Sus scrofa: one gene and its partners. The protein of the gene in region 2 interacts with the protein of the main gene of each other region in a pairwise test. Links are inferred from orthologs where the notes say so. Each region holds a gene or a part of one and is shown on either strand. Other genes may lie near its edges. The genes, in order: PLXNB3, ARHGEF11 and PLXNB2.

Region 1 (9,769 bases), on a different chromosome or scaffold from region 2:
GCGGGTGCACCTGCGGGGGCAGGGGCCCAGTCGGTCCCCGCGTGGGTCGCAGATGCCCTGGGATTTGGGAGGATGGCTCTGCCAGAGCACGGCGAGCAGTGGGGGCGAGAGGGAGAAGCAGCCAAGCACAGAGGGCTTCGCGGCCCCATGTGCGGGCCGGGCCTTGACTCTCAGGAGTGGAGGGGGGCTGCTTGGAGGGGCGCACGTGGATCTATCTGACTTAGGGTTGCCATGAAGGATTCCTGGGGGTGCCCTGTGGAGCATGGTCTGGAGGGGAGCTGGCGTGGGCCGGGGGAGCCCTGAGAGAGGCGACAGGCCTGGCACAACACAACATTGGCAGTGTTGGGAAGCGGACGCCAGCCAGCTTGGCGGCTTGGCAGGCTGGGGCAGGCCGGGGGGGCTGGACGGTGCCCCGTGTGAGGGCACAGCTCCGCACTCACCCGCCCTGGAGGACACACCAGCCGCACAGCGGGTCCCGGGCCTGGAGGCAGCTGGTGCAGTCAGAGAAGTGGGAGCAGGCCGCCACGGGCACCCGGTCCACCTGGACAGGCAGCGGGGGACAGAGGTGGTGGGTGCAGGGCCTGGAGCCTCGCGCGCCCGGCCCCCGCGACAGCCCTCACCTGCTGGGAAGTGAGGACATAGAGGTGGCTGCCGCCGCTGTCCAGCAGCAGGTCGGGGCTGATGGCGGAGCCTGGGGGTCCCACTTGTTGTGAGTGGTACACCTGACCTTGGGTGCCATTGAGAAAGACCTGGGAGGATGACAAGGACGGGGCTGGGCCAGCCCACCGAGCCAAGGCTCGCTCTCAAGATGCCCACAGGCCACCAAGGGCTCGGGGCATGTGCTCTCCTGGCTGGGAGGGAACATCCCGCCCCACAGAGCCGGCTCCCCTTCCCGCCAGGCCGGGGAGCCCTGGCCATGGCGGGGAGGCTGGGTAGGCCCATCGGCATCCAGCCTGCCCATGGTGCCCCCCTGACTCGGCATGCCCCAGCCAGGGAGGCCGGGCATGGTGGGGCCCTTGGGTGCCAGGAGCAGAAGGGCAGCTGTGGGGGACAAGGAGGCCACCAGAAGTCCGCGTCTCCCGTTATCGGCCGGAGGGGACGGGGCTGCCCGGGGGGCATCATAAGCCACACAGCTGGGAGCCCGGATAGGAGGCGGCACCCAGCCGGCCATCGGTGTGTGGCATGGTTTTCCCACCTGCCAGCAGGACACAGGCCCAGGTGGAAGGAATCTGGGGCTTCTGTGAGCCGCCCCAGGGCCAGGGCGCACCCAGGCAGGCCACTGAGGCTGGCCCGGCCTGGCCGCATGGAGGCTGGGGGCTGGGGGCCGGCCTAGGGCCACCCCCTCCTTGCCCAGGCCCTTACCTTGTGCAGCTGGCCCTGGACGTCCCCCAGAAAGGCTATCGTGTGCCCATCTGCCTGGAGGGCTGCCACGGCGCTGATGGACTCTTCCAGCTGCAGCAGAGGCCCAGCCTCCAGGGGCTGGCGGCCCGCAATGGGGCTGGGCGTGTGTTCATCGCCGCAGGGGTAGGAATCGGGGGAGTCCTGCGGGGCAGAGCGCGGGGGATCGGTTCTCGGAGGAGGTAGGAGGTACCTTCCTGGGGCCAGATCTGCAGTGGGGAGAGGATGACAAGGCAGCCGCGAGAAGAGCTAAGGTTGTGGGGCGGAAGGACAGACAGGCTGAGGCGAGCCAGGGGGCTCGGACTGAGCCAGCCCCTCCTTGGCATCCTCTAGACCAGCGGCCGTGGGGCATTGTCACGTGAGAGCGTCCGGCAGCCCCGGCCCTGGGTCGGAGACGCTGCAGGTCCTCAGAGGGACAGGGACAGAAGGGGCAGGCAGGCCAAGTAAGACGAGGCCCGGGAGAGGGCCGGAGCCTCTGCCAGAAGGGGGAAGGAGAGCCTCGGGCGAGGAGAGAGGGGGCCCAGGCACTCACGGGGGGCAGGGTGACGCAGCGCGATGTCACCCCGTACTCCACAGTGGCTTCCTCTGTGCCGCTGGGGCCCTGGCCTCCCGCCGTGTAGCAAAGGCGTCGGGCCCGCTCCATGCTCGCGTCCAGCTCAGCCAGGGGAAAGGCGCACAGGGCCGCCCGTGCTCCCCTCAGGCCCGCAGCAAATGCCCCCAGCAAGGTGCCCGGGGCAAGAAAGGCGGCCTGGACGAGGCCCTGGCCCCTGCAGGTGAGGGGCACCTCCACGTAGGAGTAGAGGTTGGCGTCTCCCAGACACACCCGGGCCACGTAGGAGCGGTACTCAGCCTGTGCCCGGGCCCCCCGGCGGCGGAAGACAAAGTAGGCAGAGCGGGCATCGGCGAAGGCGGCCACGTAGCTGTTGTTGTAGTCAGAGAGGTCGCCCACGACCAGGCGGCCCAGGCCCTCGCTGGAGAAGGGCTGCGGTCCGGCCAGCTGGCGCACGGTCAGGGGCGGCAGCCCGCCCGACAGCTTGCCCGCCAGGCCCCTGGCCACCAGCAGGAGGTCCCGGCCCGACCCAGGCACCACCAGGCCCACCGTGGCCACTCCTGGGGTGTTGGCGGCCACAAACTGTCCATCGCCAGGGTCCTCGGCCCGGTACAGCACCTGCGCCACGTCCTCTAGGCGCCGCTTCTCGCACACGCCCTGCCGCACCTGCCCGCAGGCCACCAGCTCCTGGGCCCGGCTGCTCACCAGCAGCAGCTGATTGGCGTTGTCGGTCATCTGGGCCTGCGGGCACTCGGCCGGGTCCCGGAAGGGCACGCAGTCGGGACTGTCGAAGACGGGGCCCGTGACGGCCACTGACTCCAGCCGCAGCTCGGGGCTCAGCTGGAAGAGGCGGTTCACGGCGCCCACGTAGAGCGTGCCCCGGTCCGGCGCCAGTGCCAGGCGGTTGAGGGTGGTGTTGGGTGCCGAGAAGCGGTGGGCCCGGGTCGGGGCGCGTGGTGGCCACAGCAGCGGCAGCACGAGCAGCAGGAGGGCGCCAAGGGGAGGCCGGGGAGCCATCGCGGGGCCCTGGGGGGGGGGGAGGCCGGGCAAGAGGGCGCCAGTCAGGGCGCTGATGGGAACGGAAGGATGGAAGAGTCCAGCAGAGAGATGGATAGAAAGTGAGGCACGGGAGGACCGAGGGGCAGAGGGACGGAAGCAGAAAGCGGGGGCGGAGAGAAGCAAAGGGAGGGACAAAACGAGGGAGAGAAAGGGTCGCAGGCGGAAGGGGCAGAGGACCCGGGCGGGGAGGGCGAATGCATGTGCGAAGCAGGACTTTTCCTCATCCTCTTCTCAACGCGGAGGGGGCAGATCCTGAAAAGCCACAGGAGCACCAGCGAAGGGACCCCGAGCAACGGAGAGGGGGGCGGGGAGAGCAGGGGGAGGAGGGCGGGGGGGCGGGGGGGACCCTCCCCTGCAAAGCCAGCGAGGGCGGTGGTGAGGGCTGAGGGCACCGAGAGACCACGCGGGGTGCAGGGGCCGGAGGAGGCCGGTCCTTTGCCCCCACCCCCCCGTGGCTCCAGCATGGGCTCCGCCAGCGGCACAGGGAGGGGTGGCGTGGGGAGGGAAGCCACAAGAGAGAAGACAGCTGGGAGGAGGCCTCGACGGAGGGGAGGGCTTGAAAGAAAGGCCCGGCAGCAGCGGGCGTGGTGCCTCCGCACCTGTCAGGTGGCGCCCAGAGGAGGCTCCGAGTGGGCCTCCCGCTGGGTCCTGCCACCTCACTGCCCAGCCAGGATCCACTCACAGCAGCCCCTGCGCCACAGCCTCCTCCTGACCTCGGATGCAGACGGAAGCAGGTCCTAAGTTGAGTTAGGGTCCCGCACAGCCGGGCGTGTGGGCGTGTGCCGGCTGGGAGCAGGCGCACTGTCACTCAGCATCCTGCCAGCTCGGGGCCCTGGCGGGCACGCCAGCTGCGGGTAGAGCCCCGAGAAAGGCCCCTGAGCCCTTATCTCAGAAACACAGGCAGGAAGGTCAGGACCGGCTTGGGGACAGGGCCATTTCCTCCAGACCCCGGCTATCGGCGCCAGTGTCTGGGGTGGGCGACCGCAGCGGGAGGTGCAGTGCTGGCGTCCAGGCTCCTCGGGCTCTTCCTGGCCCTGCGCGTCCCCAGGGGAAGGTCTCTGGGCACGTTGGGCTCAGGCACTTACCGTGGCAAAGGGGAGCAGCAGAGGTGCCTCCCGGGCAGCGTGGCCATCTCAGTTCAGCTGCCCTGGGGCAGTGGTGACGGGCACAAGGCGGCTGCGGGGGGGCATTGTCCTGAGTGGGAGGGAGATAGTTGAGGCTTGGCCTCATTCACGTCCCACCAGGGGAGGCGGCAGGGAGGGGGTTGGGGGGTGCCGAGGGCCTGGCAGCCAGGCGCCACCACAGCTGGCAGCTTTGTCAATGGGGGCCGGGCCGAGGCAGCCCTGCCTCCACCCCAACAATGTCCCCTCTGTCCCCTCTGTCCAGAGGCCCAGGCCAGGGACCCGCTATCTGGTATTCTTATCCCTACCCAGGGGGCTCCCTGTCACTCCCCACCCCCAGAGAGACACCCCCTGGGATCTGGGGACAAAGGGACAGGGTTTCCTTACACAGGCAGCACCCCTCCCCCATGCCCCGTGCCAGCCAGCGTGCTCCTCCCTTGTGTCGCCCCCCGGGGTCTCTGTGAAGGGCACAGGGTAGGCCATGGAGCCCCCATGCAAAGGCCAGGCTCTGAGCCCTGCAATGCCAGCTTCAGCCTTAGTAGCCTTGGTGCCGGGCTGGAGGCAAGTCCTGGCCCTCAATGCCTGCCTTTGTCCAGGCTGGGGGCAGGGGAGAGGCTGGCCAAGGCAGCCCGCCCAGGAGACCTTCTCCCCGAACCCCCCTGCCCCCTTAGCCCGGAATAAGATTGGCCCCATCAGGCCCCATCCCCGGGGACTGGCAAAGTCGTGCCAGGTACAGTCTGGTGGCAGTGGGCAGTGCTGGTGGAGGATGCTTCTGGAGGGGGCACAGGAGGGGGCGGGAAGCAAGCCCTTAGCTTCAGACTTGGCGGCTTTTTGCCGGCTGTCCCCTCTCCCTCCCCCGGGGGAGACACAGTCCTGCACACATGGGATTGGGATGGGGAAGGGAGTGGCAGCTTGCAGCTGGCTCTCCTGCCACCCTCCCAGGGCGCCATCTGTACACCAGGCCGGCAGAGCGAGGGCTGTGGCCCGAGGTGCAGTAACAGGTGTGCTCAAGTTGGGGTCCCCATCTTCTCCACGTGTGTGCGCGGTGGTTAGCAGCAGGCTCCTGCCACCTGGCTGGGCTGGTTGGGTGGCTGTGGGGGCAGGGAGCCAGGCGGGCTGCTTCCCCACCCCATGCCCTGCCCTGTGGCCGGAAGTGCCAGGTCTCCCGTTTAGGGGCAGAAGCCCCGCGAGTCCTCCCTTCCAGCTCCAGGGCCACCCCCCGGTCTTGGTGGGGAAGGAACTGTGCCACAGGCATCAGGCGGTGTCGGCACAGGGATGGGGCTGGCGTCTTTGCCGGATTCAGGCTAGTCCGCCTGCAGACCCCTGGCTTCTCCTGGGCCCCAGCATGCCCCCAGATGGCACCCCCCCACACTGACCTGGTGACCTGCTGACCCCTGCCCCCAGTGCCCTTGCCAGCCCAGGCTCCGGCCTACCTGGGTGGGCCGCCGGCAGGGGCTGAGGAGAAGCTGGTGGTGCCAGGAGTGTGTCCCGGAGGAGTCCCAGCCTCCTGCCCCACAATGCAATCGCGCCCAACGCCCAACCCGACTTGTCCCGGCGGGCCACCCAGGCAGCCCAGCCCCTCCACGCCCGCCCCTTCACCCGACAGCGGCGCGGGCCAGGGCACTGCTGCCCTCTGCTGGCCTCTGGAGGAATGACGGCAGGCTGGCTGCGCGCACCTGTCGGGAAAGGGTGAGAGCGGGGTGGTACCCTCCCACGACGGGGAGGGGGGCGAGGGAGGCAGTTGGGCATTTCACAGCCTTCCATGAAGTGCCTACTGGGTGCCAGACATGGCCCCTGCCCTGGGGCCATTCAGAGACAAAGCCCACTGCCGTCTGCCGCAAGTGTCTGAGGGGCAGAACTACTTGCCAGCAGACAGGACCCTCCTGCTAGGACAGCCCATCCGTGGCGGGTACTGTGGGTCAGCAAGGAAGGGGAGTCCAGTCTGGTGGCGCTGCTCAGGGTATCAGGGAGACCTTCACAGAGGAAGTGAGGTTTAAGCTGACCTTGAACCCCACGGTTCTACTCCTACTGTCATCCTCCAGTCCTTCCGATGACCCCACAGGGGGGAGCAGCTATCGCCCATGGCTCACAGGTGGGGAAGGTGGCATGAGAGGTCAGGGAACTTGCACCAAGTCATGTAGCAAGGAAGTGACAAGGCGCCTGCCCTTTAACCATCAGGCCACGGGGCGCTAAACCTAATGCACTGTGGCAAAAGCACTGGACTTCGTTCTGCGCTTGGGCAGGGTGCAAACGGGTGGCCCTCAGGTGGAGAGCATGGGGGAGGCCTGGCCTGGGGGAAGCCTGGCCCAGGGGTGGCTCTGGGCATCAAGAGAGGGGAGGCATCCAGACATGCCCTGGGGAGGAGCAGAGCCCAGAGACTTGGCCTTAGGCATGGCATCAGCGGCGAAGGCAGGAGCTCCCTGGGTTTTTTTCTCTGGGGCATTGCTCCCTAGGGAGCCAGGGTGCCAGTGGAGGGGAGGCTGGGAGGACCGAGGGGTCCGAGAGGTGGGAGGACATAGCCAATGGAGCCGTTGGGGTCTTCGTGAAGGAAGTTTGGTAGAGTTCCTGCTGTGGCTCAGTGGGTTAAGAACCTGACTAGTATCCATGAGGATGCAGGTTTGATCCCTGGCCTTGCTCAGCGGGTTAAGTGAATTTTGTGAGCTTTAAAATGATACAAAGGGAGTCCCACTGTCATTTTCCTTCTGCAAACGGCTCCTTACCCTGGCGGCTGTCCTTTGGCGATGCCTGTGTCCCTGACAGGGGTGCTGAGGGCTGGCTTCTCCCGATGCCGGCTGGGGACTCGCCCGGTCACCGGGCACACACGCTGTCAGGGCGCCGGGCGCAGAGGAATCAATTTCGGCGCTGCTGGCCCGCACGACATTCCCGATGCCACTGTGCAGCCACTTCTTTCTCCTTCTCCTCATCTGCACCAAAACTTGGACCGAGTGCACTGGGTGTGAAATGGTGCTACCTCGCTGGGCTTTTATTTGGCGTTGGCCGACCGCTGGCAATGCCGAGCTTCTGCAAAACGCCTGATCAGGCCTTCACCGATTTTTCTGGGTAGGTGGTCTTGCCATTACTGTCTCGAGGGATTCTTTGCATATTCCGGATACCGGTCCTTGGTCTGTTATGTCCTCTTTCTGCCCGTGACTTGTGTTTCTTTGCAGTTTGCTTGTGATATCATTTGACGAACACAACTTTTTCCTTTTTCCTTTTTCTTTGTGGTCACGCCCATGGCACACGGAAGTTCCTGGGCCAGGGATCCAGCCTGCACGCAGGGGCGACCGGAGCCACAGCAGGGGCAACGCCGGATCCTTAAACTGCGTCGCAAGGGATCTCGAACACATGTCTTAGTTTGAATATAATCACTTCCCAGACAAGGGACTGACCCCAGGCGACAGTGGTGAAAGTAGCGAGCACTGGACCACCAGGGAACTCCCTACTTACTCAGGTTTCAAAGCAGGTCTTGATACGGGGGAGTCACTTCTTAAAATTCGCTTTCTCTTTCTCCTTTTCCTCCTCCGCCCGGTCCTCCTGATCTTTCAAAATGATCTCACCTCCTCAGCTGTTCTAGGCACTGTTAGTTTTCCTTAGAAGCTCAAAAACAGCTTGTCATAGTTCCAGGAAAAACTCTATTGGGATTTTTTTTGAAGGAGTAAGTGAAGATTTTGTTGAATTTTGAATCCCTCTGGAGACGAGTCGTCTCTAAAATATTGTTTCCCCGTCTACTGAGCGTAGGATGTCTCTCCAGGGATCGAACCCGCAACCTCAGGGATCCTAGTCGGGTTTGTTAACTGCTGAGCCATGAGGGGAAGTCCTACCCTCTTCTGCTGGTACATAGAAACACAGTTGACTTTAACAAATTGAATTAGGGAGTTCTCGCTGTGGCTTAGTGGTTCCATCCCTGGCCTCGCTCAGTGGGTTCAGGATCCGGCGTTGCCGTGAGTTGGGGTGTACGTCGCAGACGTGGCTCAGATCCCCCGTTGCTGTGGCTCTGGCACAGCTCCGATTAGACCCCTAGCCTGGGAACCTCCTTATGCCAGGGGTGCGGCCCTAGAAAAAAGGCAAAAAGACAAAAACAAAAAATTGAATTAGAGGTGACTTATAATATCGTGTTGGTTTGGTGTGTACGACAAGGAAACACAATTGACTTTTGTGTGTGTTCTCTCTCAGCCCACCTCGTAAACCCTTTGCGTTAAGTCTAATAATTCCTTTTGTGGATTCTTTTGGGTTTCTTCTCCAACCCTTTGTTGTTGTTGTTGGCCATGCCGGGGGCGTGTGGAAGTTGTCTGGCCAGGGATCGAACTCATGCCACAGCAGCGACTCAAGCCGCTGCAGTGACGACGCTGCATCCTTAACTGGCTTAGCCACGAGACAATGCTTTTTGTTTGTTTGTTTTGACATCCAATCCTTTTAACTCCAGTTTCTTATATATATGATTTACTTTTTAAAATTTCTTTTCAGGGCCACACCTGGGGCATCCGTACGTGCCCGGGGGGGAGCTAGGTATGGAATGGGACCTGCAACTGCACACACCACAGGCGCAGCAACACGGGATCCGAGCCACGTCTGCCGTCTTCACCACAGCTCACGGCAGCCCTGGATCCTTAACCCACGGAGTGAAACAACCCTGGATCCTTAACCCACGGAGTGAAACCAGGGAGCGAACCTGCATCTTCCTGGATACTAGTCGGGTTCTGAACCCACTGAGCCGTGACGGGAATTCCACCTCACTTTAATTCCCCGGACATTACAAGGTTTCATGGAAGCAAAGAGGATGTTTTTAATGTTTCATCTTTAATTATGGTTATAATGTTTGCAGGAGATATTTATAGACAACTTTATGATGTTAAGAAAGTTCCCTTCCAGTCCTAGTTTGCCCTGCTGAGTTTTATCAAATGCTTTTTCTGAGCACACTGAGTTGATAACGTAATTTTCCTCTTCTCGTCAGTTGATGTGGTCAATTATGGGTCATGATTTTCTGGTGATTCCACCCTTGCATTTTCTGGGCTGGATGGTGGTGGTGGTGTTGGAGCGTTTCCTCTTTTTCTGGAACAATTTATCCAACACAGGGATTATTCCTTGAAGCTTTGATAGAGTTCATTTGTAAAACGATCTAGAACTGCCTTGTTTCTGCAACCATTAGCCGCTATCCGTACATTTGACATGTTACCAACTTCTTTCATAATTACGGGACTGTTCAGGCTTTCCTTTTTTGGTCTTTTTAGGGCCGCACCCTTGGCATATGGAGGGTCCCAGACTAGGGGTCGAATCGGAGCTGCATCTGCCGCCCTACACCACAGCCACGCAGGATCCGAGCTGCATCTGCGACCTACACCACCGCTCACGGCAACACCAGATCCTTAACCCACCGAGCCAGGCCAGGGATCAAACGTGCATCCTCATGGATCCTGCTCGGGTTCCTTAGCCACCGAGCCACGACGGGAACTCCCTCTCCTCTTATTCTTGCCAGAGCCTTTTCTTTTTTTTACCAATGGCAAAGAAGCAGCGCTTGGCTTTATTGATCTTTCCTTTTTTCTTTTTCATGAATTTCTGCTGTCTCTGATTTCCTTGTTTCCTTTCTTTGGGTTTATTCTACTGCGGTTTTACCAACCTGCGTTCAGGCTGTACATTTCCTCCT
Region 2 (9,168 bases):
GCTAGGCTCAGGGACTCAGTAGTTCCCATCTTCAAGGTCATTTAGCTCAGCTCCAGGTCCAGGATGTCAGAACAGGAGGTGGGCTAGAGATGCTGCTTTGCCTGGACCAACAGGAAGGATAAGTGGGATGGGGAAGCTAAGACAAATAACCCTTGGTACCAGGCCCTGGTCTTAACCATATTAATCAGAGATTTTCTTTCTGTCGCACCCACGGCATATGGAAGTTCCCAGACAAGGGGTTGTACCAGAGCTACAGTTGCCGGCCTACACCACAGTCACAGCAACTCGGGATCCAAGCCATGCCTGTGACCTACACCACAACTCACAGCAATGCAGGATCCTTAGCCCACTGAGCGAGGCCAGGGATCGAACCTTCATCCTCATGGATACTAGTCATTACCACTGAGCCACGATGGGAACTCCTAATGAGAGATTCTGACATTGGCACATACACTCTTACAAATCTTCCTGTGTATCTAAGCTTGAGATTCATAAGAGAATTTCCAAGCCAGAAGAAACAGAAAAACATTTAGCTGGTCTCTTCAAAGCTCACCACTTCATGTTCTTTAGGCAGGTGACATTTTGCTGAAACTGGAAAATATGTGGCTGTGTGTATGCGTTTGGAGCAGGGGCTGTTACCATCACTCCCATCTTGTAGATGAGCGTCAGATCTACCTGTCCCAGACTGAGTGTGCTTGAAGACCTTGGGGCAGCTGCAGGAGCCAGGGGCAGCTGCACAGCCACAGCCTTGAGCGTCCCCTGGCTGGGTGATGATGCGGCCGCCTGGGAACATCCTATAACAGAACGCCTCCAGGCGGAGCCCACAGCGCCCTCTCCCACTGGCCACCGGAAAATGCCCAGTTGTTCCTGGGATATAGTTACACTCTAGCTGTGACAAGCAATAGGTGTGGTCCTGAGATTTGGTATAAGTGAATAACCCAGAGCAACAGTAAAACAAACAGCTAGAGAGGAGCACATTTTTGAAAAAGAGCAGTTTTCACTGGTAGCATTTGCTCTCCTTCCTCCATTTTCTGAGTGACCATGAAACTAAACAAAAGTCAACTGTACGTTACTAACAATCACGTTCTTTTGCTAATAAACAGGGGCAAGAGCGATGATCCTAAATGGCCAAGTTCTCAACACTGAGGCTTTTTAGCTTTGGTGGGTGTTTGGTCTTTAGATACACATACAGATTTGTCTGATGTCCTGGGAACCTGAGAACATCAAATCCAATCTTGAAATGATAATAGAAAGATCTGACTCAAAGGTGGTGAATCCCCAGCATCCTTATCTTGCTCCTGGGATCTGTAGCCCCACCCTGGGTGTTCCTGTCCCCTCTCAGGCTGACACAAAGCAGCAACTTGGGCAGGGCTGCTGGTCTCAGGCCCGCTGCTTGCCTCATGCTGGCCCGGGGCAGGGTGGATGGGAGGAAGTATGTGTTAAGAACTAAGGGTCTGGGTTTCAAGCTTGTTCTTTTATTTTTTTCCCATTGTTTTATGGACTTTTTCTTTATGGCCGCACCCATGGCACATGGAAGTTCCCAGGCTAGGGACTGAATCAGAGCTGCAGCTGTGACTAGCTGGATCCTTTAACCCACAGTGCTGGGCTGGGGATAGAACCTGCACCTCTGCAGTGACCTGAGCCCCTGCAGTTGGATTCTTAACCCACTGTGCCGCAGAGGGAACTCCTTTTTTCTGAATTCTTTATTTTTATTGTTTACAATAGCATAGCAAGCCTAGGAATTTAACTGTAAAAATAATTTTGAAAACCATTATTTTCGTCACTTTATATGAAATGAATTCTAGCAAAGATTAACTTCCTAATTGCATCTCACTGCTATCTCTCCTCTTGATTTACTACAGAACCTAGAATATATTAATCACTTAATTGTATGCATATGGACCTTGTTGATGGGAAATAAACCTGTCTAGTTCTAAGTGCTAATAAGCCTTTTTGGGTTACTATCTATTATATGTATATATATATATATACATATAATATATAGTACATATATATATATATATTTTGCTTTTTAGGGCTGCACCTGAGGCATATGGAAGTTCCCAGGCTAGGGAGTCAAATCAGAGCTCCAGCTGCCAGCCTAAGCCATAGCCCCATAGCAAGCCAGGATCCAAGACACATCTGCGACCTACACCACAGCTCAAGGCAATGCCGGATCCTTAACCCACTGAGTGGGGCAGGGATCGAATCTGCATCATCATGGATACTAGTCAGGTTTGTTCCTGCTGAGGTTTGTTCCCACAACAGGAACTTCCTATATATTTATTTTTAATACACAGATTCTAGAAGATATCAGGTCCTCTAACATACATGGGTTAGGGTCATTGTTTTTAACTGTTGCAAAGTTAGGAGTCTAAAGAGACAGAGGTGCTACAGTGAAGGGCTTAAGTAAAGGAGATGACAGAAATTAAAATACCCCAAAGCAAAACTGTTAAAGGCTCATTATTAACTAAACAAAACAAAACCAAAAAAACCCCTCACATAACATTCAAAAATAAGGATTTTTATAATTTTTTCAATTGAAAACAAAATCTGAGGAATTCGTATGGGACATTTCAACATGTGAGGGTTTTCCTCACTGACACAGAGCCCTGGATTTTGGAGCCCCATCCATGGAAAGGTGACAATGAGGGAGAAAGGCCTCAGGCCATGGAACAGTCTCTGAGGGCCCAGAAGCTGGTCTCTGCAGGCACCTAGAGGAGCTGCTCCTGGGGGGCAGCGCCCCAGCCCCACCCACCCTGCATCAGGCAGGCAGAATCCTGTGCCCAGCGTGAGGACAGGAACCCCTGGGCAGGGCTTTGTGCCACAGGGAGCTTCTACAGCAATGGAGGTGCATATAAGAGCAATGGGGTGAGGAAAGGGAAGGAAGAAGGAGAGCCAGGGCAGGAGGAGACGAAGAAGGAGAGGAGAAGGGCAGACAGGACTTGGGAAATGGAAACTCAATGCTAATGCAAAGAAAAACCCAAAGAAAATGGTCCTTTTACCTTCCACAGGGGACAAGGGAATATGAAATGCTAAAAGAAAACAAACAAAAACAAAAGTAAACCATGAAAAGTCGAATTAATGTTTCAAGAGTCAAAATAAAAATTATATCAAGCAGGAAAATGAAAGGTAGTGGCAAAAATCAGGGCTGAGCTAGCGAGTCCCCGCCTTCCCCCACTTCCTCCAAGGCAGCAATTTCCGGAAAGGCAGCTGGCCCCGGGCCATCGCCCTTCCCGGGTTCCCAACACTAATTCTGGGGTCTTAAGATAGTGACTGGGAGGGCCAGCAGCAACGTTCAGAGATGACACACAGCTGGGAAGAATGGGTGACAAGCTCAATGGAGGTCTGGTTACCAATGGCATGAGGGGAACCTCTGGGGCCCCAACCTGCCCCCTTTCTACCTAATTCTGCTAAACAGTAATTGAAACTCACTATCAAGGGCCCATCCTAACACACAGGCCCTCAGGACAGACCAATCCCAGGGATGAAGGCGAAGCAGGCACTGACTGTCAATAGGGCAATCTTGCCCAGGGGGAAAGTTCCTCTTCATGGCTGCTCAGTACCTACAACCGGCTTTGAGTTTCTAGACCCATGGACTGGCTCGGCCTCCTTGGCTCTGCAGCAGTTACCTGTACCTCAGGCGCCTGTGCTGGGGGTGGCGAAGGGAGAAGACAGGAGCGCTGAGGGCAGGCTGCGATCTCGGAGTCTGGGCCTGTGGCTCCCAGATGCACAGGAAGACCCTCTGCCCATGAATTGGCCTGTGAAGGAGCTGGGATCCCCGCCCAGTGCCTTCTCCCCAAATACTCACTGCTCTGGGAAGAGCCTTTGGGCTTCCCGATGTACTTGAGGATTGGGTTTCGCTTCTTGTCCTCCAAGGCATCCTTTTCTTTCTTGGAATTGCTGCTCTGCTGAGACAAAAGACGCTAGGGTTTGGAGAAGGTCCCAGTACCCTAACTTGGCCATGGATCCCCCTGTCACTGCCCCAATGACGGGCCCTAAACAAGTAACTGGAAGACAGACTCATGCCTGTACCCAGGACCAGCACATGTGCTTCTGGCCTGGGGCTGGAGGAAGGGAGAGCATGGCTCTAGCCTGGGGATTCTCAATGACTCCACGTCCAAAGGCAGCTAGACCCCAGTTTGCCTCAGTGCAGGGGGCCACACCCAGAGATGCAGGGGGCCACACCCAGAGATGGCTGCTTTCTGGGGCAGCTCTGTCACCTTCTTGGTCTTCGGGAAGAAGGGTAGCCACTTGTCCTTGTCAGGAGCAGACTGGGCCTTTTCAGCTGCGTTGGAAGGTCGTGTTTCTCGAAGGCGGATCCCCGCATGGCTCATGTAGGTGTTGAGGGCGAAGTCCATGGGGGCACTGCGAGAGGAACGGGGGTGAGAAAGCTCAGCAGGTGGCAGAGCCCGAACTCTGCTGCACAAAATCTCGCCACCACCCGGTGGGTGGCGAAGAGCCAGGGTGTTCGGAAGGACGCCTGGGATATTCAAATGGGACAGCAGGCAGAAGCCAGCAAAAGTCTTGGCTGTCATGACTTCTAGAAGTTGTGTTCTTTTCCTACACAGAACTCCACCTGACGAGAGGACAGGGGTCTGCGGAAGGACGTGTCAGTTCCCCAAACAAAAGCAGGTAAGGAGAACAGGCCTGGAGAATCGCTGTGGCCCACGGCTAATGTCCTCAGGCACACACGAGAGGGCTGAGTGGCAGACGGATGGGGGAAAAATGCCAAGCGGCCCCTCTAAGTACAGGTCAGTTGCCTTCGCCACCAAGCTCCCACCCCCGGGACAGGGGGGAAAAAGAGATGGAAAGGATCTGGCGAGTCGCTTCCAAGTGCCACGAATGAAACTATCCAGATCTCTGTGTTTAAAAATCTATTTGGCTCTCAATTTGGAAGATGGATTATCCACTTTGCGGATTCAATGAAGCAAATGCTTTGGCCCTGGCTTTCCTCCTCTCTCAAACAGACTTCTAACCCCACCGTCTCTCCCTTATGAAGTGTGTGTATGCTCAAGGAATGCACACTCATTTAACATCGCCTGCTGAGAAACAAAAAGACATGTATGTATACAGGCTGAAAGGGAAAAAGTGTGCCAAGAAAAGCCGTGTGTTGTGCCCCAGCTCCCCAATGCAGGGGCTGCTCCCGGGGGGTGACCCCATCACTGTTCCTTCTTTAGGCGGTTTACGAGAGAGAAGTGGGGAGGCAGACACAGGGCGACGTGGGTGGAGGAGACCAGGAGCAGGAGTGCCGGGAGGGCTGGCAGCTTGGTGTCTTCACACCGAGGAGCAGACACACGTCCCAGGCAGCGACCTCCTTGTGCTATGGTTACACGGGCGTCTGGGAACTAAACTTGCACAGCTGGTGATCCTATGATGCTGCGGGTTCCCCTGTGATGGGCAGAGATGCAAAGCCCGGTAGCTCAATTCCACTCCTTCCCACCTTGAAACCACACCACAGACTCACTCACCTCCTGTCTTCCTCGTATTTGGACCTGGAACAAAAGAAAGAACAGATGACTCAGACTGCAAAGGCAGAGGCTTGTCCGCCTGTGCCACACCGGGAGGCGGGTGAGTTCTTTCCTAGAGGAAGGGATGGCGGGGAGGGAGTCAGACTCAGACTCCTGGTCTCAGCCCTGGAGCCGCCTTGGGGCTCAGGAGGTGCGGGTCCTCACTCCGCTGAGGGACTCAATGGGCAGAGAGTGATGATGATGATGGAGTCCTTCTAGCTAAAAGGAAGGGGCGCGTGGCAAATGCAGCCTCTGGCTTGCTATCTGTTTCAGCCTCTGAAGTTAGGGAGGAAGAGGCTCCTCCCTGTGTCCACCTAGAACTCAATTAGAAGGGTCGGGCTGACACTGAGGCAAGAGGAAAGACGGTGAGACAGCGGAGATAATACCTTGGGACCTGATTCAGGGGAACCTATTTAAAAGAGGTAAGTGGGAACAGCAATTAATATCTGTGTGCTCGCTATGGGCCAAGGGCTATTTACATGTATACTATTTATACCCAAATAATCCATTACATCTCCATTTAATGAAACGGAGGCTGCATTCTTTTAAATACAAGCCATTAGAAGCAGGGTGCCTATGCTGTCAATAACAATCCCATGTAATTCTGTGGTGCCTACAATCTCAGAACAGGCTCTGGCAGCTTTTTTGCTTCCATCCCTGGTGTCATCGGGGTGATCAGCGCCATCTGATCGCTAGGGAAACTAAGGCCCAGAAAGATTCAGGGCTCAGCTGAAGGTTGGAGGGTTGTTTTCAAAGACGAAATATGTCCTCTCCGTGGGACCTCTCATCAAATGCCAGATTCCTATTGGCAGCTGCCTACTCGGTTCTCCACTTTGATGTCTAAAAGAGATCTGAGATTTTGACACGTCTGAAACCGAGGCCCTGATTTTCTACCACAGGATCGCTTCTCACACAGCTGTACCTAACTCAACGGATGGCAGCTTCGTCCTTTTAGTCATTTAGGTAAAAAACGTGGAGTTTTTTTCCTTTTCCTTGGTTTTTCTTTCTCTCACATCCTATACATCAATTGTTAGGAAATCCTCCCGTTGGCCCTCCTGTCAAAACATACCTGGAACTCCTTTCACAGCCCCAGGGGCAATGCTCCCATGCCAGCCCTACCGGGGGACTTCCTGTAACTGACCTCCCTGCCTGGAACCCTCCTTTGCTCTCCCACCACTCTCAAGTTGCTCCCGGCTCCAACGGTTCCTCATTCACTGGGAGGAAAGAAACTTACAACTGTCCACAGCTTCTGGGAGGCCGCCTCTCCTGTCGCCCCTCTGACTTCTGCACTCAAACATGTCAAGCATGTCGCTCCTCTGCCCTGGCTGTTCCCTCTGCCTGGGATGCTCTTCCTCCAAGATGTTTCCGAGGATGCCCATGCCCCCTTTCCGAGGATGCCCATGCCCCCTACATGTAAACGTCTGGATGAGGCGCTATTTGAAGGTGCAATCCCCTGGCTCAGATGCTCCTGGGCCCCCTTGGCCTGCTCTGTTCCCTGATCCCCAACCCTCATTTTCTAATGTACTCTGCAATTTACCTGCATAATACACACTGCTTTTTCTTCCCACAATAGCACAAGCTCCACAAACATTGTTTCTCTACTAATGCATCCCAGGAGCCTAGAACAGTGCTTAGCACCATCGGAGACTCCATAAAAACTTGCTGGCTTGAAGTATCAGCATTAGTAGAGGCTACAGAGATTGTCTAGCCCAAGATCTGTCATTTTATAGATGAGACCGAGGGGGATGCAATGGCTTGATCAAGGTTACACAATTACTGAGTGGAGAAGCAGTACTGGGGTGAAAATCTACCTCTAAGCCTGGAAGTGTCCCCACAAAGTCAACCCAGGCACCTGAAACACTTTAGAAAATAGGGCTGGAAAGAGGCATTCACAGCAGCTGTGCCAGGAGTTCCTTCGTAAGTTTAGTTTGGTTAGTCTTCCGATATGATTAGTTAAAAACGGTCTGATTCCTGTAAGCCAGTTCTGCCTGCCTCCTGAAGGAACTTTACCCCCTGGAGAATCACTGCATGGCTCTTGTACTCAGTGTCAGATGCGATCTTAGCGGCAGGAAGGGGCCAGAAAGCTCACTGCGATGCTGAGGCCCGAGGTTTGTTATAACCACCAAACTGCCCTCAGAAGCTCCAGGCTCCACAATTCCCTTGAAACTCCCACAGACCCGGCCTGAGAAATGGAGCAGGAGGGCAGGATTCTCCCCAGCTTTCGGGGGAAGAAGGATCAGGCAAGAAGTGGCAGAGGGGGAGGGACTAGGAAATAGACCCACAAACTGTGTCAAACTGTTGGGCATGTTCAGGGGTGGGAGTGGAACCGGAGACTCACAAAATGTCTCCTAGGGCAGCCAGCTGCTTCTCCGCCACCTGGCGCTCGCGGAGAGGGTCCCCATCCAGGTCCAGCAGGTCGTTTTCACCATACAGGCTGCCCAGCCCCAGCGTGCGCTTTGTTCTGAGCCAGAGAGCGAAAGAAACAAACGTATACCAACGTCTGACAGAGAGGTGCACAGACACACACACCATACACACACACCAACACACACACCACACACAAACACACACACACACACACACACACACACACACACACACACACACACACGAGACACATACCCCGCAGGTCAAGAACAAGGGTGAGGAGGCAGAGGGGAGAGCGGGGCGGGGGGCACCGGGCACCTGTAGTCCTGGATCTGCTCCTGGATGTCGGGCATGGCGGCCTCCTGAGCCTCGCAGAGAACAGCGCGCACATCCTCGCCGCTCCGCAGGCGCAGGTCTGTGGTGGGAGCCCAGACAGGAAGGGGAGGGATGTCGGGAGAAGGAGGTCACATCTGCTGAGCATCTCAAAGCCTCTTAGCTGCCTGTGGCACCGGGGGCAGAGGCTGGCTTTCTGCCCTCCTGTCAGCCAAGGGAAGTGGAGGCCTGGACCTACCAGGTCATTCCTGAATTCAGGACTGGAATTCTGACATCCAAGTCCCAAGGCAAGGACAAAATCGTTTCCGGGATGTTCCACACTCCATTGAGTGGAGAACTATTAAATCCCCTCTCTGCCTGTGTCCAGACACTGCCCTCTGACATTAAATGCACACCTCTGCAAGGCTCATCCTCATTCCACCGCCCCAGGGTCAGCTCACAAGGCTGCAAAAGGCAAGCACTGCACAGGAAACCCAACTTCCCACCAGAAACTGGAAGGTGTCTCTCCTGTCCTTGCACCTGGCTTCACTCAGCTGAGGCTACGTCTCCGGGAGTGGCTGGCCACCCTCTGCTCTGCTTTGGAGCAAGTTCTCTTTACCCTCTGTCTGTGCCCATTAGCTTTCCTATCATCCAGGCCTTTAAAGGACCTCTTTTTGAAGGCAGCTTTGAACCAAGACCCTCTAGAAAGCTCCTGTGATTAGCCTCTCAGGTTGGCACCCTTCCTTGGCTCTTCCACTCATGATTTGACAACGAGAAGGGAACAGAGCAATCACCTAGCTCACTGGCTCCCCACCCAGCACAGGTTTAGGAACACACACCACCAAAAACACAAGAGCAGAAACACTCCAGAGAGTCTGACTCTGCGGGTGGGGTGGGGTGGGGGAGGCCCTGGTTTTGGTAATTCTAAGACAGAAGCCCCCAAGGGATCCTGATGATGACCAGGCTTAGGAATCCAATT
Region 3 (9,715 bases), on a different chromosome or scaffold from region 2:
CCGCCCCCAGGGGCTCACCTACAGAGGCTTGCCTGTCACCCCGCATCCTGAAGCCCTTCCCCTGACGCCCACCATGGCTCACCATGGCCAAGACAGGGGAAGCCAAGCCCCTCCGGTCCCCTGGCCAGTCCACCCAAGGGGGGCAACTCCAATGTGGGAGGGAGCAGGTGGGCCACGCGGGGGCCGCTCCCTCCCACCATCTGCCCTCCACCCTGCCAACTTGCCCAGCTCCCACCACTGGGGGCGAGAGGGGCAGCGGCCACCTTCCCAGGGGAGGCACCAGCCTCACTGCATCCTGGCCTGGGCCCTGGGCCATCTCCAAAGTAGCCCCTCCTCCGCACACACCCTGGGGTGGGGAGGCGCAGAGTCCACCCAACGAATGGTCCGGGAACCGACTGCCCATGGCAGGGCCCACACAGCCCCGGCCACCCCAATCTGCCACTCGAGCCGCAAGCCCCCTGGGGCCCCAAGACAGACCGTGCTCCCCAGCCCGAGAGCTGTTCTGGGACGCGCTCAGCACTCTCCCCTCAGCACTCCAAGACCCGAGGGGGCAGCAGCCAGTCACCCTGTCCCTACTTCCACCCACACAGCAGTCCGGCTGAGGCTGTCAGCAGCCAGCTTGAGCGGAGCTGACGGCAGCAGTAGAGCCCCAATCAACCCAGGCCCATGCCCTGCACAGGTGGCATGCTGGCTCAGGGCCCCCAGAGCAGAGCAGGCCAGTGGCTGGAGCTGTCCCCACCTCGGGAGCAGACACCCCTGCCTGGACACTTTGTTGACACAGGTGGCCTCCTGAAAGGCTGACATCAAACCTTTTTCCTCTTTCTTGCTCTTCCTGAGGAGGGGGCCCAGCGGGCGCAGCGTCAGGCACGGAGATCCGGGCTCGACACCGTCCCTCTGCTCCCAGAGCCCCACATGGGAACAGCTGGCCAGCTGCGCCTGCAGAGCAGGGGCGCCACCCCAGGGGTCCGGTCTCACCCCAGAAGTGCCGTCCAGGCAGGGCTGATGGCCCAGCTGGGGTCAGAACCCAGGCTCTACCCAAAGGCCTCGCTCTCCCTCCCTGGGTCCCCAGGCCAGGACGCATCTGGCGCCAGGATGGGGAGCTGCCAGATTTCGGAGGACACGCCATCTCAGGGGCTGAGGCCGAGGGTGTGGGCACCCAGCTCGTCCTAGTCCCTGCTGCCGCTTCTGCCCAGTGCAAGGGGCACCAGGTACTCAGGTGGGCCACGGGCCAGCCCACAGGGCAGGAAGCTGCCAGCGAGGTGGGGGCGGGGCTGGGGGAGCTGCGAGGCGGGTGCTGAGCTGCAGGAGGGACCAGAGAGTGACAAAAGGTGGGAAACAAAACCCCGGCTCCAGGTGGGGGCCAGCCCTGGGCTCTGCCTTTCGACAGCAGAGGCAGACCTGCTGGTGTTCCCGCGGGCACTCCCAACTCCACCGGGGGTTTGGGTCCAGTCACTGTCACAGGTTCGAGACTAGCTCAGAACAGAGGAACCCAGCGCTGGGACCAGCTCTGGTGACACTGCGGGCAGGGGCCCAGCCAGGGCTGTACCTGTGGCTGGGGAGCCCAGGGCAGAGCAGGGTTCTGGCCTGGTCAGCAGGGGTGGGGGTGGGGGGGCACGGAGGTCCTCAAAGCCCCAGGGGCAGACAGAAGAAGAAGTCCAGCAAAGGATGTGAAACCACTCAGGAGGGAAAACCATAAAGGGCCCACATGTGGTCCAGAGAGAAAAGGGAACCTCAGCACTTCCTCTGGCCCCTATCCCGCACCACAGTGCCCCCCCACGACAGGCCACTGACCCACCCTCCCCAGCCTGTAATTTGAGACCAAAGACGATTAGAGGCCCCACCCACCCCACCCCAAACACAAATAGCCCTTAGCCTCAGGGGCAGGGACCGGGCCAGCCCCCACCCCCAGTTAGGGACCGGCCGCCAGTGAACCTGCATCCGCCTGACAGAGGGAGGTAGAGGCCGGGAGACCAGCGCAGCCCCCTCCTTCTGGCCAGGCCTGGGTTCGAGTCCAGGCAGGCTGACCAGTTCATCTCCGCCCCTCACCGGCCCCCAGCCTTACCCACACCCTTGTCCAGGGCAGGCTCTGGGCATGAGGCTCCTCCACAGGGGAGAAAAGCTTATTCCCCCCACCCAGGCCAGGAAGCCACGGCAGGACAGGGGGCCTTGTCGCTGCAGCAAGAAGGACTGAGGCGTGGTGTAAGGACTTCCTGCAGAAGGACTGCAGAGTGGACCTGCCCAGACCAGAAAAGGGACCACGGGAGAGGCGCTGGAAGCCACAGCCTGTCCTGCCAGGGCACCCTCTGCCCACACCCAGAGTGCTCACCAGCTCTGACCCCCAGGCTGTGAGTTCAAGGCTGGGAACAGGACACCATGACGGCTCAAGGGCCTGCAACGAGCTGTCCTGGGGGAGAAGGGCACACGCCATATGGACCCCTCCTCAGGCTGCCAGCCCCCGCCCGTGCCTTCCACCCCAATCTCTTCCGCTCCACTCGCCTGGGCTGGGGCCAGGCCCCTGGGTTTCCTGCACTGGGCCCCAGCTGTCAGCTCTGCCTCCCACCGTGGTCCCTACAGGGCCACCGGCTGCACACATGCGAAGTGGACCCCAGGAGCCCACTCAGCAGAAGCAGCATCCCAGACAGCTCCTTGAAAGGACCCAAGGGACCCATCTCTGGCCTTGAGCTCCTCAGCCATGGGATGGGCTCACAGGTGCCACATCTAAACGTGGGAGGGGTTTGGGGGCACAAGGGCTGGGCTGTCGGAGGGGCTTGGAGAACCGTGGTGCATCAGTCGCCTGCTGGTTTGTGGGTCAGTCAAGAGGCAGGAGGGTGGCCTGAGATGCAGCCAGTGAGAGAGCCCAGTGCCCCACCCACCCTAAGCAGCCATCCCGCCCTGCCCGCTCGTCACCCCAGGGAAGCACCGGTGTGAGTAACCGGCCCAAGGTGTGTCCATGACCTGGGCCCTGGAGGGCAGCCTCAAAGGGCCCTGGGGCCACGGTGCTAAGGCCTCTGGGGTGAAGGGGGCTCCTGGCTGGGCCGCTGCCCTGGGCCCCAGGGAACAGGGTTCAGGACTCCCTCCGCACCCTCGCCCCCCCCCGCCCCCTGGAGGGGCCCGGGCCCGCACCAGGCCCTCCCAGCAGGGCCTGCCTGCGACCTCTGGCGGTTCTCCAGCCCAAGGGTGACGCATCGCCCCCACCCTGCCCCCAACCGGTCTGAGCAGCCGCGGAGGTGGCAGAGCTGCCCAGACTTGCCTGTCCCTCCCTTCGGAGGCTCTCTGCGCGGCCCCGGAAGCGGATCTCTCTCCCAGGGCTGTGGCCTCCCCCCTTGGGTGGCTGGACACGGCTGGATAATCCAAAATAATTCCTTCTTGGCAGGCGGCCGGTGGGGGAGGGGGGGACTTGCATTCCAAACCCTTGTTTTTCTCTAACTTCCCTCCCCTCCGGGGGCAAGGAGCCCCAGCCAGACCTCAAGCCCCCCTTCCTCAGAAGGAGGTGGCCCCCCCATAGGTAAGGGGAGGGAGGAGGTGGGAGGCTGGGACCATCTGCGTGCGCTCAGTCTCCTCCGGGAATTCCTCAAAGCTGACACACCACCAAAAATACCCAAGGGGCCCGGCCAGGCCCACGGTGACCCTCCTAGGGACCCTCACCTCAGAGCACAGCACCCCCCGCAGGTGTCCAACCCTCAGATGCTCCCCTCTGTGCCAGGATACCATCTGGACGCGGGGTCAGGCCGAAAGCCCCCAGCCCCCTGGGCTTGTTCTCCCACCTCCACAGGTCCTGCCCCACCTCTGCCCCAGGGGGGCACTGGGGCTGAACTTAGACCTGGAAGGAGGAGCTCCCCAGGGCAGGTATGGGCCCAGAGAGTCCCCAAGCCCCAGAACATTCCACGAGCTTTGGGGCTGAGCCTCACCCCCAGGCCTGACCCCCACCACAGGCCCCGAGCCCAGCCAGACCCCTTCCTTCTTTTTCCAAGTTGTTGGCAAGAGCCCAGTGACGTGGCAGGAAGCGCTGAGGCTCTTGAGCTCAGGGACTCCCCTCAAAATCTGCCAGACAGCTGAGCGCAGAGGAGTGGGAAGGGTCCGTCTGGGAGGGCTTCCTGCAGGAGGAGGCACACAGAGGTGCAGGGCCCGAGCCTGAGGGGGCAGGGCCCAGGCGGCCGGCAGAGACTTCCTGGGCCCCAGAGTGTCCACCCAAACCGCACCCCAATAAACCTTGGCAACTGGGCGCAGGCTGCGCGGCGAAGCAGGCGGGGACCCCCGGGACCTGCCCAGCGCTGGGCTGCGCCCGGTCCCAGCCCAGAACTGCGCACCCGCCTCGCAGCCTGCCAGGTGCGGACCAGGGGCTCCCAGGGCGGTCCTGGCTGCCGCCCTCCTCACAAGGCCCCGGGGGTGCGGGGCGCTGAGGCCCGACCACTGCCCAGCTTCCCGGGGAGAAAGCCGCGGCTCCGCCTCGGCCGCCGCCGGGGAACCAGAGCTGGGGTGGGGAGGCGGTGCAGGCCTGGAGCTCTGGCACAACGGAGACCATCTCCGCCCCCTGCACCGATCTCCGAGGCCAGAGGAGCGGGGGCGTGAGCAGGGGGGGAGCTCTGGGAGCCCCAAGGGGTCCGAGGGGCTCCAGAGGGACGCGGGCGGCGGGAGGGGCCGCGGCGCCCGGCCGGGGCCCCCTGGCTGCGCCGGGCCCGCTGTCTCGGGCTCCGCAGGCCTCGCCCGCCACCTGGAAGAGCGTGGGGCGGGAGTGGCCCGGCCCCGGACGGCCCGACACACAGACGGCGGCAGAGGCCCGAGTCGCCCTCCGCCGGGCGGCAGCGGCCCGAGTCCCCCTGCGTCCCGAGCGCTCCAGGCCAGGGCGGAGCGGCGCGGCCGGCCACCCGCCCCCCCAGCCGGCCGCCCCGCGGGCCCCGCACCGCATCTCCGTACCTGCACGTCCGCCGCCGAGGCTCGATGGCGCCCGGGCCGCGCTCGGCGCTGTGCTGCGGCCCGCGCGGCTGCCATGGAGACGGGCCTTTGTGTGGCCGAGGAGGGGCCGGAGCGCGCGGGAGCAGCGGCCCCGCCCCCGGCGGGGAGCGGGGGAGGGGAGGGGAGGAGCGGGGGAGGGGAGAGCGGAGGGGGGAGGGCGGAGGGAGAGCAGGGGCCCCACGGGCGGGGCGCCCCCCGCGTCCCTGGTGCCCGCTGGCCACGGTGGGCGCGGCGCGTTCGCGGGCCTGGTTCGGGTCCAAGTTGGCGCCAGGGGAGCCCCGGTCTGGGTACTGGAGGAGAGCGGGGGCCAGACCGAGGTCCCCGAGGCACCCTTGCAGTTCTGTCGGAGAGGGGCCGGCCACCAGCACCCCTTCCCTCACACTGGGGAACAGGCCAGGCGGGCCACGCCCTTGCCCTGTGGGGGGGCTCGGAGCTGCTGGGTCTTGCCTCCCACCCTCCTAGGGGAAGAGGGCACCTGCCCTGTGTCCCCTCAAGTACATCCTTGGCCTCCATCTGCTCTCCTACTCCCTGGGACCCCCCCCCCCAGTGAGCCTTTGGGGACCTGTGCACAGGACCCAGTTACTCTCTCGGGTGCTCGCAGGTGGGTGGTGAGATGAGCCTCTCCCAGGGCTCCAGCTCTGGACTAGAGTTTGCCCCACGTCCGTCCGGCCACTCCAGCCCCTACCCATCCTGGTCCTGATGCCCCCAGCCCCTCAGACTTGAGCAGGGGGGGGGCTCCACTGCCCCCCACCCACAGTCTCCAGCAGAGGACCCAGGAAGGATGTGGGACCCTTCCCCAGCCCTAACCTCTACTTCCATACCGGGACGCCCCCTCCCATCTTTGGGGACCCACTCTCCACCCAGCCCTTCCCCTCCCTGCAGATGCTCCATTTCCTCTATCTCAGCCTCCAACCCAGATGAAGCCACTGGAGATGGTGGGTCACCCGTCATCGGTTCTTCCTGCTACCCTCCCACCCCCACCCAGCCGGCCAAACCTTCACCCCTTCGGCCCTGAAGCAAATCACACCAAGACCCACCCCACGTTCATCACAGGGGACCCTCAAATAACCAAGTTCTGACAGGGATGCCAACTTTTGTCAAAAAAGGAAATTAAAAGACAAGCATTGTGTCACAGGGCATTTTAATACCAAAGATGTGGGAAGGCCACCATCCCAGCCTAAAAGAGAGTCTTTAAATAGAGTGCAGGAAGCTGGGGGGTGAGGACTGTCCTTCCTGTCCCTGCAGCCGCCCACTGGCGCCCTCCACCCCACCCCCACCCCGGGCCCACGCACACCACTACCCTCACACCCCGGCCTCAGACCAGGAGTTGCAGCCCCTCCAGGCCCTGCTGCCCAGGGGCTCTGGTAGGAGATGGCTCCGCCTCTTCTGCCCACCTGCCCCCCCTGCCCTCCTCACTCTCTGACCCCAGCCCCGTGGGGGGACAGAGGCTCAGCCAAGCCAGAGCCGCCCTGATCCTGGCAGGGAAGGCAGGAGTCTCTGGGGAGATGGAGTTGGCAGGACTCCACACCTAGCCCCCACCCCGGCTGCACTGTGCCCGGAAACCTTGTCTGGGCCCTCCTCGGCCCAGGCACCCAGGGAAGGCTTCAGATTCTGCCCCCCCCAGCCCCTCGCAGCACTGCCCACCCTGCCAGGTGTCCCTCTTGAAGACAACCCGCGCTGAGGTGCTGCGCAGACGCAGCCAGAGCCCTCCAGATGGCACGCAGGAGTCGGAGACCTCCTGGACGGAGGGCAGCTGAAGTCCCCCATGCAGCCCTTGGCTACTTGGGAAGGGAGGTGACCGTGCTCTGCGCTGAAGTGATGGCTGGGGCACCCCGCTCTCGGGTGGGGTCACGATGTCCCAAGCCACCCCCATGCCCGGCAGCCATGGCCCTTGGGCCACTCCCCAGACCAGACAGGCTGTCCACAGTGGTGCTTGGGGCCCCAAGGCCCTTCCGCACTCCCCGCCTCCAGCTGGTTCTCTCTCTCTGCTGCCTCTACGCTGCTGTCAGACTGCAGCCGTGCACCAGACTGTGCTCAGTTTTCTGCAGGACGGGGCCATGCCAGCTGTCTGAGGCTGTGGTCAGGGCCAGACAAGTCAATGCTGGCAGCTCTGAGACCAGCGCCTGCTGTCCCCTGGTGGCGTCACCACACGACGCCACTTGGGAGGGCCTGGACTGTGGGGCTTCAGCAGACAAGGGAAGGCCCTGCCAGGACCAGCTCAAGCAGCCGTGATGCCCATGTAGGCACCTTCAGGGCCCTGCCCCTTGACGAGGCGTCAGGGTTGGGTAAGGTGGAACTTACCCGAAGGCCTCACCCCTGCTACCCCCACTCCCCCTCCTGCTGGCTGACAGTGCTGTCACTCGGTGCTGAGCTGTGACAGTGCTGGCCATTCGGTGCTGAGCTGTGACAGTGCTGGCCACTACTGGGCCCTGTACGCCAAGGTATCACATGGTGGCATGTGTCACTTGAGAGGGCCTGTCGCTCCTTGCCAAGGAATGGGGTGTCCCCAGGCTGCTGTGGTTGTGGGGGCTCCGGCCGGAGGCACCTGGCCAGGCTGGAGGCTCAAACCCCTCCGGCTGCATGTGGGGTAGAGCCACGCAGCCGAGAAGCAGCCTGGGCAGAGGAAGGGAGCTGTGCCCAGGGGGTGTTCCAGGACTGGAAGGAAACAGTGCCCGGGACCCTCCTGGCCACCACCAGGGCCCCAGCAGCCTCCCAACCGCCCACAGGGCAGAGTTCTCAGGGCAAAGTGGCTTCCCTGCTCCCAGGCCAATGACAATGGGGAGGTGCCCCCAGGCCAGACAGACAGATGGGTGGGCTGCCTGGCAGCTACCTCCTTCTGACCTGGGCTGGGCAGCTGGGTGAGCCCAAAGGACACATCAGGTACCACATGTGGGATGGCAGGTTTCAGGCAGATGGGTGCCTGGAGGGGGCTGGTGGCCAGAGGCCCAGATCAGATTAGGGGGACCATGCTGGCCCCGCCCCCCTGGCCCAAGACCCTGCAGAAGCAAGTGGGGCCCAGGGGGAGGTGGGGCTGTGGCCAGCTCACGATGTGCCAACAGTCAGGGGCCAGCTGCGGCTCTAGATGCTGCCTTTACTGCTGGGACAGTGGTGGTGCTGGGTAGGGGCCAAGACCACGAGCAGCAGGCACCTTGCTGGGGACCTCGTGCTTGACCAGGGAGAAGGAAGCTCGGCCAGACCCAGGCTGCCAGGGGCAGCTAGGCCCCTTGACCATCGGCCCCAGGCTAGGGAGGGCACAGGATGACCTGCAGGTCCTTGGGCAGTGAGCTGATGACCGTCTCGATGTACAGCCGGGCCTGCTTCAGCGTCGCCTCCTTCACAGGGAGCTGGTGGCCCTGTGCCCGCACCTGCAGGGGCAGCGGTGGTCAGGGGCAGGGGACCTCTGCCTCTGGCTGGCCGTGCTGCACGGGGCCGGGAGGCGTCTCACCAGCCTCTCCCGAAGTTTCAGGACCAGGTCCACAACCTCCACTTCGGACTTGCCCTTCATCCAGACCTCAATGTTCTGGGGGACGAGACAGGGCCACCGTCACCAAGGCCCCTGCCCCTCCCGCCCCCTCCTCCCGCGCCCCCCCGGCCCAGCCCCTAAGAGCCGGGCCCGTAGCCCCTCTGTACTCTCCCTCAGACAGCTCCCCCTACCGCCTCACAGATGGCCTCGAGGTGCAGGGCCTCCAGCTTCTGGGCCATCTCTTTGCGTCGCTGTCGGTACCAGCCATCGAAATGAGGGGACTTGAAAAACCGCCTGTGGGGGCAGGGACGGTGGCTCTGGGGCTGAGCCCGTGTGCCGAGGGGGGCACAGCCCCCAGCAGCAGGTGCCCCAGGACCTCACCTGCTGTCCACCCACCTGTAGAGGCCCAGCCAGTCCCCCTTGAGGACGCAGGTGAGCTGGGGCCCTGCGTGCTCCAGGCTGCGCAGGAAGTCATCCTGGCGGAAGGGGCGGATCTGGGGAGGGGTCTGAGACAGCGGCCAGGTGAGCCTGGGGGCCTAAGGGGCCACCGCCTCACAGGCTCTGCACGTGGCTCAGGTCCCCACAGGGCACTTGCCAGACGTATGCCTTGACCCCGCCTGAGGACCCCCAGCCCCCAGGCTCCTGGGAGAGACCCCAGGGTGGCCCTTCGCAGCAAGGAGGCCATGGAGACCCTCTGTGCGGTCCCCACTTCTCTGCCCTGCGAGGGCTCCCTGGCCGGCGTGGGGACAGCCTGTCCCTGGGGCCCTGCCCACCCACGCCCTCCCCCCGCCCCCAGAATCAGGGCAGAGCCCCCCGCAGCCCCTCACCTTCCAGGGCGTGATGCTCTTCTGCAGGGGCATGAGGCTGGCCATGTAGTGCTCCTGGGGGGCGTGGGGGGAAGCGACAGCGTCGCGGCCGAGCCCAGGGCCCATCGGCCCCCCTGCCCTCCCGTCTGCCCGCCAGGCCTCACCAGAGGGAAGATGAAACTCTGTGTGAGCTCCAGCAGGTGCCGCCTCAGCAGCGCGGTCTGCACGTCGGACGGCCGCTTCTTCTGCAGGCCCTGGGGGCACGGGCACACCCAAAGTGGCCCAAGACGCGCCCCCTCTGAGCACGGCTTCCCCACCCCTCCAGCGCCCCAGCCTGTACCTTAAGCAGGCGTCTGAGCAGAGCCTTGTCTCGGTGGAGGTGGGCTGTGTACGCCGTGTAGAGGCCTGGGGAGGGCAGAGTGGCACGGCAGGCTCTGGGGGGTGGGGGGGCGCCCCCTTTGGCTGCGCCAGCACATCTGCCTGCCCCCCCCAC

Evidence for each region.
Region 1: the proteins of ARHGEF11 (region 2) and PLXNB3 interact in a two-hybrid assay, tested with the Homo sapiens proteins (2 studies listed by BioGRID and IntAct). The link is inferred for Sus scrofa from reciprocal best matches to the Homo sapiens genes ARHGEF11 and PLXNB3.
Region 3: the proteins of ARHGEF11 (region 2) and PLXNB2 interact in a two-hybrid assay, tested with the Homo sapiens proteins (2 studies listed by BioGRID). The link is inferred for Sus scrofa from reciprocal best matches to the Homo sapiens genes ARHGEF11 and PLXNB2.

Annotation. Positions count from the first base shown.
Region 1 is NC_010461.5:124,503,896-124,513,664, reverse strand, and holds the start of PLXNB3 (plexin-B3), read right to left. Parts: upstream 5,713-9,769; 5' UTR 5,562-5,712; intron 4,202-5,561; 5' UTR 4,093-4,201; intron 3,856-4,092; 5' UTR 3,607-3,855; intron 2,975-3,606; 5' UTR 2,966-2,974; coding exon 1,931-2,965; intron 1,543-1,930; coding exon 1,363-1,542; intron 750-1,362; coding exon 621-749; intron 542-620; coding exon 441-541; intron 11-440; coding exon 1-10. UniProt on the Homo sapiens protein: Receptor for SEMA5A that plays a role in axon guidance, invasive growth and cell migration. Stimulates neurite outgrowth and mediates Ca(2+)/Mg(2+)-dependent cell aggregation.
Region 2 is NC_010446.5:93,133,087-93,142,254, reverse strand, and holds part of ARHGEF11 (rho guanine nucleotide exchange factor 11), read right to left. Parts: intron 8,293-9,168; coding exon 8,196-8,292; intron 7,972-8,195; coding exon 7,849-7,971; intron 5,496-7,848; coding exon 5,472-5,495; intron 4,369-5,471; coding exon 4,224-4,368; intron 3,912-4,223; coding exon 3,812-3,911; intron 3,036-3,811; coding exon 3,006-3,035; intron 1-3,005. UniProt on the Homo sapiens protein: May play a role in the regulation of RhoA GTPase by guanine nucleotide-binding alpha-12 (GNA12) and alpha-13 (GNA13). Acts as guanine nucleotide exchange factor (GEF) for RhoA GTPase and may act as GTPase-activating protein (GAP) for GNA12 and GNA13.
Region 3 is NC_010447.5:385,697-395,411, reverse strand, and holds the start of PLXNB2 (plexin-B2), read right to left. Parts: upstream 5,066-9,715; 5' UTR 4,915-5,065; intron 1-4,914. Other genes in the region: protein DENND6B, read right to left, coding at 8,196-8,318, 8,399-8,473, 8,608-8,710, 8,798-8,952, 9,244-9,297, 9,387-9,476, 9,563-9,715.